2 linked regions of the Arabidopsis thaliana genome follow. The protein of the gene in region 2 interacts with the protein of the main gene of each other region in a pairwise test. Each region holds a gene or a part of one and is shown on either strand. Other genes may lie near its edges.

Evidence for each region.
Region 1: the proteins of UMAMIT41 (region 2) and STP4 interact in a protein complementation assay, tested with the Arabidopsis thaliana proteins (one large-scale study listed by BioGRID).

The regions. Positions count from the first base shown.
Region 1 is NC_003074.8:6,932,447-6,937,886, reverse strand, and holds STP4 (sugar transporter 4), read right to left. Parts: upstream 3,320-5,440; 5' UTR 2,840-3,319; coding exon 2,707-2,839; intron 2,621-2,706; coding exon 2,301-2,620; intron 2,220-2,300; coding exon 1,590-2,219; intron 1,508-1,589; coding exon 1,046-1,507; 3' UTR 690-1,045; downstream 1-689. UniProt on the Arabidopsis thaliana protein: Mediates an active uptake of hexoses, probably by sugar/hydrogen symport. Can transport glucose, methylglucose, galactose, xylose and mannose, but not fructose.
Region 2 is NC_003074.8:10,440,892-10,446,055, reverse strand, and holds UMAMIT41 (nodulin MtN21 /EamA-like transporter family protein), read right to left. Parts: upstream 3,449-5,164; 5' UTR 3,073-3,448; coding exon 2,882-3,072; intron 2,794-2,881; coding exon 2,728-2,793; intron 2,218-2,727; coding exon 2,104-2,217; intron 1,956-2,103; coding exon 1,727-1,955; intron 1,635-1,726; coding exon 1,473-1,634; intron 1,365-1,472; coding exon 1,213-1,364; intron 1,030-1,212; coding exon 840-1,029; 3' UTR 625-839; downstream 1-624. Other genes in the region: UMAMIT43-psi (Nodulin MtN21 /EamA-like transporter family protein), read right to left, coding at 1-62.

The sequences.
Region 1 (5,440 bases), 3.5 Mb from region 2:
TAATATTCTTTGTCTGTAGACTTTTTTTTATTTCTATTATTTTGGACCCCAAAAAATAGAAAGATGTAACAAATTCATAATTCTCTTTCAAAATCATAGAAACTTGTCACGTACGTAGCAAATTCATAATTCGTTGACAAAACGAAACACACACACACACTCTCTCATGATCACATTCAGAAAAAAGAATTGGTACTATATAGATCAATTTGAATTTTTTAATAATCTTAAATATCTTTCAACAAAAATAATGTTATTTACAATGCGTAATTTGAAAGAAAGAATTGGAAAACGTTATAGGGAGTTTCAGGCAATGAAACCAAATAGACAAAAAAAAAGAATCTTCAGTTACCAGTTTCCACGAGCTCGTTGCCATCATATTCATAGGTCAATCTCAGTTTGATATATGCTATCAAAGTTTAAAGGTAATATCACTGCTAGGTTTGGTCGGGAGTTTTTGACTCTGTACTCAATTATTCATCCATGCACTGATGCACATCAGTACTTGTATTATTTCTAACTTTTTTTTTTTGGGAAATTGTAATACCGTCACTAGATGAGTGATAGTTTTAAGTTATATTAAACGATCAGTTTTCGAAAATGTGAAATTACTTTCTCACAAAATTTGTTGCAAAGAAGAGCTGAAGAGGTACCGCAATCATTGGAAAGAAAAAAATGGTAAGGATAAACTGGAATATCGATTGATGAGTGATGACTATTCTTGTTTCTTGCATAAAGCGTTAACACTATTTTTCTCAAATAAAGATTCAATGAAATGTAAAATAAGAAACCATTTTTAAATAATTTTGTTCTTTTTTTTGTTTTTACATCTTTAGGCCCCAAATAACAATTTCAACAAAGAAACATTAAAAAAGAAGAAAGAAGAAACAATGAAAGCTAAGTCTCTGAAGCTAAAGACAGAGCAGCTTTCTTTTAGGAAGTAAGGCATTTTTGACAATTATTCTTATTTCATCCCAAGAATTATTCACTTTCTCTTTTCTCATAAATCTTTATTGCCCAAAGAAAACTTCATTCTTGATCATCATCATACGGACTTCTGTTGCATCTCAGCAGCACCCATATTGACAGCTTCATCAGGAATAAACTTTCCCCAGAACCAATGTGCCTTCCACACTCTGTTCATCTCTTCGATTGGCACATTCTTTGTCTCAGGCAACATCAAGTAGATGAATATTGTCATTATGACAACAAAGAAGGCGAAGAAGAAGAATAGTCCGAATTTCATGTGACAAAGCATAGTGAGGAAGAGCTGAGCCACAAGGAATGTGAAGAACATGTTGACCGAAACGTTTATGGCTTGAGCTGCTGATCGGATCTCTAGTGGAGATATCTCACTAGGAACCAACCATCCCAACGGTCCCCATGACCAGGCGAAACCCGCTACATAGATGCAGATCAGTGCCACGATTAGATTGGCATCACTTTTCCCTATGTTTCCTGTTCCAGCCACTCCAAATTTGACTCCAATCATGGCTCCAATAGCGATCTGTAATACACACCGATATTTTGAGATATTGAGTGCCAATTAAGAAACGTATAGTAGGGTTAGGGTTAGGCGTTTGTGTTACCTGAGAGACAAGCATCTGGATACCTCCTTGGAGGAACAAGATTCTTCTTCCAAACCTATCCACTGTAAAAACAGAGACGAAGGTACACAAGAGCTCGATGATACCCGTTACCATAGCTGATAGGAGGGAAGCTTTGCTACCGAACCCGAGGGTTTGGAACAAAACCGGGGCGTAGAAGGTAATGACATTGATTCCGGTAAGTTGTTGAAAGAAAGGAATGAAGCAAGTCATGATCAATTGTGGTCTGTAACGAGGAAGCATGATGTTCTTCCATGGGTGTTTCACTTGCTTGGACTCCTCACTTGCATCAATGAGATCTTGAAACTCTTCATCGACTTCATTGGTTCCTCGGATGGACTGAAGCATTTCCTTGGCCTCTTCGGTGTAGCCACGTTCGATGAGAGAGTTGGGAGTGTCGGGAAGGATCAGAGCTCCGATCATGATCATCACTGCAGGGACACAAGCTAATCCGAGAGAGATTCTCCATCCGATGTTTCCTTTCATCTGTGCGGTGAAGTAATTGATGATCGTTGCAACCACAATACCAAAGATAATCGCTACTTGAAACCCGTTGTTGAAAGCTCCTCTTAGATTCGGAGGAGCCATTTCTGATAAATAAACCGGTACAGACTGAAACACAAAACAAAACCAGTTAACTAAGCCACCAGTGTTACTTCTTCATCAAGGAAAAAGACAGTTTTTAGAGCTTACTTGATTGGCGAATCCGACTCCGAAACCAAGTAGGATACGACCAATGAGAAGCATAGCGATGTTTTGGGCAAAGCCGTTGAAAGCAGAACCGATGAAGAAGGTGAAACCACCGAGAAACATCGACCATTTCCTTCCGAAAACTCTAGTAATGGTGGAGGCAAAGAGAGAAGACACCAAAGCCGCCACATAGAGAGACGAAGTGAAGAGAGTGAGAAGCTGACTATCAAATCGACAGTACTCGTTCTCATGTGCGCTCTTCATCTTCTTGTAGACGTAAGGGAAGAACTCTTCCAAGAATGGCTCCATTGAGGTTACCCCTCCTACAAGAATATAGAAACCCTAATTAGTCACCGGAAATTCCTAGATCAGATCAAAGAAGAACAAGACTTGAAGAAAAGAAAAAAACCTGAGATCCCGAGATCGTATCCGAAGATGAGACCACCAAAAGCACCGATGAAACATGTCACAAACACTTTCGGTGTCAGTTTGTAATTGTAGTTCCGAACACCCGGCGTTTGACTGACGAACCCTCCGGCCATTTCTTTGATTTGCTAAAAAACAAATGAAAGATTTGTTGACTTCTGTCTGTTTCAGACAAACAGAGCAGATCTTTTTTCTCTCAGGTAATTAGTAGATCTGGTTCTCGAATTCAGACAGAGAAATCAAATGTAAGAAGAAGAAAAAGAAGAAGAAGAAGAAGAAGAAGACAAGATTTGATATTGAAAATGAAGAAGAGTTTAGTTGAAATTTATAGGATTCGACAAAACCTCAAAAAAAGGAGAAATTAACTGTCGGCTGACTTCTGAAGTTTAGAAGAAAAGAACAGCTGTTGTTCTGGTTCTTCCACTTGCCTATTCCTCTAGATCGTTATCTTCTTCCCTTAATCTCGTGTCTTTTTTTAGTTTTCAGACCAAATAATTATTGTCTTTTTTGCTTAAAACGTAGAAAATTAGTATTTATGACGAGGAATCATTTAATTACTCTTTGGATAGTTTACCAAATTAACCAGATTATTGGACTGAAAATTAATTAATTAATACACTAATGAGTCGCATTTTGTAAGATGATAACTCTTTACTTTGCACTAGAACTACAATTTTGACTCAATTAAAGCTATTTTTGGTTTTATCTAGTCACTTTCGACAAGTGACAGTTATTTTAATTTGATGCTGTGGTACTTAAATGAGTAAACCACCCGCAAAACTCGGTCAATGGACAGCAAAGACCGCTACTAGTTTAATTTTAGTCTTGTAGATAAGATCTTTGATCTGATATTTTAAATTAGGTGTAAAATCTGTTTTTCAATTTTCAAACTTTTAAAAGTAGTATAGTTTAGTTATTACTTTTCCGTCTTTTGACACTAAAAAAAGTGGTATGAAATCTTCAATATCTATCCAAAATTTGAGGTCATATTGATACCTTAATAACCTTTTTACCCGTGAGCCTTTTCATTCACATGCATGGATCTATAATGAATGTAATGTTTTAACATTATCCATGGAATGGGGACAAAATTTAGTTTTTGATAAAAACTAGATTTCTTGATTTTATTAAGAGAGCATATTGTACGTCAAATTGACTATAAGATAACATTTCTGTGTCAGAGGATATTTCAAACAATGATAGTAAACAGTTGGGCTATTGATTACGATGGAAAGAAAAGTTGACTCACTACTTTTCTATATGTATAATTAATTATTTCGTAAACTATACGTAGCTCCATACTTTCATTCGTAGTCTTCCGTTGCTTTCTACTCCTTTCGTTTACATTGGAAAGTCAAAACTCGCGTTACATTATTTTCATGATGTTCCCATAAGGTTTCGTCATTATAGTGTCATATCGTTATCTTAACGACGTTATTCATGTAAGGCTATATTAATAACTACGTTATGCATTGCATACAAGGATATGTTTTATTCCCTATATAAATTGGTGTGATATATTATATATATAATCTTATGTTTGCTACATACAGTAATTAATGTGATTTGAATTAGTCACATTTTTGTTAGACTCATCAGATCTTGTCTCAGCACTGCATTCTCATTAGGATCAGCAACTTGACACTGAATTAATTAACCATCTTTTATGTTTGATATATTGCAGTACTAATTAATTAGTTAGTGCTAATTGTTTACATGCCGATGGAAATTGTAATGTTAATGCAAAATTTGTATAGCTAAAAGGCCTAGCTAGAACAAAACAATTAGGTGAATGTGTTTGAATCTGAGAATCTGAGAAATGCGTTATTTTGATGTAGTGATCTTCTGTAGTTTGATTGCTCTCGTTCCCTTTTTATAAATGTGAACCTTTGTCTTGTTAATTTCATGAAATTATTCAGACGAATGAAAAAGAACAAGACAATTAGGTGTTTCGTCGATCACATGCGTAAAGCCAACTTGACTTTTAGATATTTGTTTGTTTGTATTGCAGATTTTTAAATTATACGTTCACTGAAAACAAAATTCAGAGAAAACAAAAGTAAGAATAAAATGAAACAGGACAACAAAACTCAAAACATAAAGAGGAAGAACAAATTGAAAAACACAAGACAACCAAAAACTCGTACAGTGTACCATTACCATATGTAAGGTTTTGATAATAAATTAATAATTAGAAACCTTAGCCGAAAAAATACAATTAAGAAATAATGGGCATTGGTGCTATTTTCGAGACAGCAAACTCGTTTTTTTTTTTGACGCAAATGTGTATTTAAAATGGCAACAGAAAACTCGAAATCAATTAAGCGACCGACTAATAAATGTTATCATCTCGAAAAAAAGACATGTCATCCAAGATCACGTATGGCATATACAGCCTAAAACATATGATCCGCCGCATGGTATTCGACATAATTATTCATTATAACCATCATGTGTTAGTTATATCATATTCACCGGAAACTATATGCAATCGGTTGCTCTATGCTTTGCCACTAACTAGACCCAACTCAAAACATAATTTACCATATCTATATAAACCTGGATAATGTACTCACCATAATAGATCAAATTCTTACCAATATTTATCGGAGAATAGTTAAAAACACCGCTTTCTGATCATTTTTCGATGACAAAAAGTTGTCAAACATCTTTAGTTGGAGACTTCCAACCTGGTATAGTGGTTTAGATAGCGTGTG
Region 2 (5,164 bases):
TGCCGAAAGACGCTGAAGGAGATAAAAGGACGGCTTAGATGCGGCGAAGACGATGGGGCCATGGTATAGAGTTGCCACAAGTGCACCCACAATGCAAACTATTGTTCCAACTACTTTGGCTACACTCTGTCAGAATCTCCACCGCCACCATTGCCGTCATGATCCCGCCGTCTCTTTGACAGAATCTCCCAGCCATTTTTTTTGTTTTGTTTTTGATTGTCTGAATCTGAAACTCTGGTTTGACGGTTTGACCAATTTAGGAGCTTTAGAATCTCAACTTCAACTTACTTTTGCATCCCACCGCAGTAAAAGTAAAAACCACTTTCAACAATTATTATTACACTATTACTATATAGTTAAAAAAAAAAAATGTCTAACCATTAGTTAATTAGTAACTTAATTATAGTTATGAGGACAAAGATTTTTAGGATAATTTTTGAGATTTTTAGGTTAAATATCTTTTCTTGATGAGCAATTAATTTTCCAGTTCATAGTAAGTCTTAAATCCAGGACATATCGTCACCACTATCAAGGACTATAAAACAAATGAAAATTGGTCGCCAAAACCTGTAGTTATCAGTTATCACTAAAAGATGTTCTTAAATCTTAAGTGAAGAATTAGTCTTATTCTTAAGGATATTGGAATCATTCTAGTGTAAATCATGTGAAAGACTAAGAAAAAAAGGATATAAAAAGGACTTGTTAGATTGTGATTAGAAAACACTTGGATCCTAAAATTAAAGATCACATTTGTCTCATCAAATAAATTACAAAGACAATTCACATATGAATTTTTTCACACATATATATATAGCGTGATCTTCACTAGTTGATGATACTCATACATGTTCATCGTTCTTGTAACTTTCCAAGAGAGGAGCCTTCTGTGAACCCGATGGAGAATCAAGGTCAGCTTCATTGGCCTCCTCGTGGTTAGCCTTGTTATCATCTTCGACCAAGGCCACTTCCTTGGCTTTTCCCCACATTACCGTGTAAAACCCGATTGTTATTACCGTTGCCCCGATCAAGCTGGGATCATCATTCAAGCAAAGAAAGGAAACCAAAAGAGTTAAAGTGAGCTGAGAATTAGAGAATGACTAGTTAATATTTTCCACAGTTTTTTGAGGTATGGTTCTAACATAACCGCAAGTCCCAAACTAATCTTGGACTCACCCGTTACTATTTAAATAAAAGTGTGAGTTGTTTTTGTACCTGCCGATGTAGAGAGAATCTCGCAGGAAGATAACTCCCATTGCAACAGCAATTGCAATAGACAATGGCTTGAACATTGCAACAAATAAAGGCCCCTTGATCCGCAATGCCCACGTGTGGATAGTATTGTTTATGCAAGATCCAAACAATCCCTAAACATAGAAATAGAATCAACCAAAATAAAACCATTTTGCTTGTCAAAAAACTAATCACACTCATAATCTCTAGGGAAAAACACATGAGTGTAATTATATTCTCACCGAGCAAACGATCGACACTAAAGCTATATTCGGTTTTATCTTCCATGCACCCAAGTCATTCCCTTCAGTGAACAATGTGACTAGCGCGGTCCAAAAGCTAACGCCTATGCTATAAAAGCAAACAACGGTAAACTCGGCCGGATACTCTCTCATGATTTGAGTCTACAAAAAATATTGAGAACATATGATTCTATCAGAAAACCAAAAAACTCACATAGTGACATATATGTTATATATGCATATAGAGTTCAGACCTGAACAATGTACCACAATGGAACACAGAAATACTCGACCGCAAGGAAACCCGCACCAAGTATCCAATTAGGGTTAGTCGATTGCGATCGCAAAGAAACAGACGGTGGCGATTTAGCAATCACAACAGGACCATTATAAAGAGTCACTATAAATGCACCTCCAATAGAAACAACGGTTCCTAACATTTTAGCCACACTACTTGTTCTCTTAAAAGACACACTCTCCATCCTACAACATTACACCAAACGTTTTCAAATCATAACCTCATGGGCTAAACAATAAGGCCCATATACAGTTAATGGACGGAGGGTAATTTTGTAAATTGATAATGTAAAAGGAATATGTCAAATAGGATATAGAAATGTTGTTGTCAAACCTGAAAACGACTGCAAGCAAGAAGGTGAAAGCAGGAGTGAGGTTGCTGATTGCAGAAGCAAGTGTTGGAGAACTATAATTTATCCCTGTGTATCCCATTATGTTTGAACAGCATCTATATACATTATCAACACACATTTTTATTAATCAAATAATTATAACCAAAACAAAATAATATATTCCACTTTTTACTAAGAATAAATCATGAACAGCATCTATATACATTGTCAACACACACTTTTATTAATCAAAAATTTTATAACCAAAACCAAATAATATATTCCATTTTTTTACTAAGATTAAATCATATAAATAAACCCCCAAAAATTGAATTTATTTTTGTTTATAATAATAATAATGTTTTTAGATTTTTGCAGTAAAGTTGCAGCTTTTGGAACCAACTTTAAGCCAAATGTCTCTTTCTATACTTTTTATTCTCTAAATTTTGGTAAACAAAAACTGAGAATTTCAGTAACACTCATGCAAAAAATTTGATCTAATCAGGTAATTAAAGATCAAATTAACCTATTTCAGCAACACTCAGGTATTGCTTGAAATTAAAGAAAAATTTCAAGAACTGAGAATTTTTTATTTGGTAGAAAATTTCAAGAGATGAGACTTTTACCCAATAATCCCTAAGAGCACGATTTTGTAGAGAATAGAGAAATTCATCGGTGGAAGAGTTCTTGATCTGTGAAATTAAACAAGAACCGATTAGCCAATTTTCAAGATTAGATGAAAAATTTAGTATCGAGATCGAATCAAGAAGAGAGAGAGACCTGAAAGAGCAAAACAGAGAAGGAAGAAGAAGCAGAGCAGCGAGACCATAAGAGTAAACGATGAAGACATGAAAGCTCATGCCTTTCAAAGTTGCTGCTTTAAACAGAGTGTTTAAACCAACGTTTGCACATTCCATTATTACCAAAGCCGTTACCGGCAAAACTTCTCTCTGAAAGTATTTCCGCGCCATCTTCTTCTCTTTCTCTTTACTCTGTTTCTCTCTTTGATTTGTAGATTTTTTTTACATGAATTTTAAGATGAGAGAAACAGAGTTGTGTTTTGTTTTTGTTTTTTTTGATGGGGAAAGAGAGAAGAAAAGATGGTGAGTGGGTGAAAGTTAGATTTTCAGGAAATGTTATTGTGTAGTACACACACTTGAGAGATATATGAAGCAGACAAAAAAGGCCGTGTAACATGCTGACATGTTTATATGAAGTTTAAGAGAAAAATTGTGGAATGAAATTCAATTTTGGATCAGCTTATGTGAGTTTCAGGTTATGATTTAAGGGAGTATTTTGAATAGTAGAATATTTGAAACAAAGTATGCTTGAGAAGTTGAGATTCTTTTTACATTGGTTTTCATTAATAATTTAATAGATTTAGTTAATTTACAGATTTAAATTTTGATTTGTAGCAACGGATTTAAATTGACCATTTACCACTACTAATTTCATCATTATTTTTGGAACTTCGTTTTTTTTGGAGAAAAAGTCGAAAAAAATCTCAGTCTCTTTTTTATCTAGACGTTGAATACTCAATTATTTTTGGTTGGAAAAAATACACATAATAATTAAAATGTGCGTTTATTATCCAAAAAAAATTGCTGTTATTTTCATACTCATGATTTCAGTAAAAACAAATATCCACTTTTACCCTTACAATTAAAGCGATTTCAAAAAAAAAAAACCAATTTTACCTTTAATTTTTAACTTTTAGTTTTAAATGATGTGGCAATCATTTTCAATTTTTTGAATAGAAACTAACTTTTATCTTTATTTTGTTTTAAAATCAATTTTCTATAAGCACTAGCTAAAGAAATTATGTAACATGTTTTACTATTCAAATTGTTTATCACAAATAACAAATAATATTCAACAGCTTTTTTATATAAAAAATGATTTATCTTTTACTGTCCTCTCATATCGACTCATACACTAAAGAAAACCACTAAACCATATATATATAACTTTAGTAAAAGCTTTTTTTTCAAGTGTTAAAACCATTTTTTTTAGCACCATAGATAACTTCTGTAAACAAATTAGGTATACAACTTAGGATGAGACTCCAGCTTCTTGGAGTTGTGGAGGAAATCACGCAAATTTCCGAGTTTGGCATTTTGGAATCGGTGTTTCTTCTTTTGTTTTCGCTCTATACATATGTTTTCCTCCTTTGTTGTTTTGTCATTGTCTGTTCTTTCTGTAGATTTTCGTTATTTTTCCGGTTCTTATATCCTTTTTAACTTATGTCGAAACTTCGAAAATGGTATAAATACTTGGGGAATTGGCAAATATAACCAACAAAAATACTTTAATTGGTAAACTAACACTTCAAACAATAGAAAAAAATATTATGTATAATATATATAATATTGACAATACTATCATGTGTTTGTACATCACGCTCTCCTTCTTCTTTCTTTTTCAAAAGACATCCTATTGAATAAATCTTCTTCTCTTTTATGAAGTGTGCTCCTTTCATCTCTCTCTCCCTTTTCTTACTGTGTTTGTACATCTCGCTCTCCTTCTTCTTTCTTCTTCAAAAGACATCCTTGTGAATAAATCTTCTTCTCTTTTATGAAGTGTGCTCCTTTCATCTATCTCGCCCTTTTCTTACGAATCTTTACATACATCACCATCAACTAAACAAAAGTCAAAATTATATATGGATCAATCTTAAATGTCGATAGGATCACTCAAATCTGATTTACTCTATTTTATAACAACACCATTAGCGCAATAATACTCTGACTATATTTATTCTTCGTCAGCCAGAGAATACTAGAAAAATCCGGTGAAATCCTTTCGCCAATTATGTCAAATTAATCTTCACTTTCCCATCAAAGTTCATATGAGAATTTTAATTTGTAAATCCATGGAAAATAAAATTGAGAATTATGAACAACAAATTGACGATCATGTTATGGATTTCTTAGATCTAGAAGCGATAAAGGGTTTACGATGTTGGAAATTCTAAAGGGAAATAGCCAATAAATCGATTTTGATTTTGGAAGATTTTTGAGAGATACTATTCTATTTTGTGAATATACTATTTACGTATACATT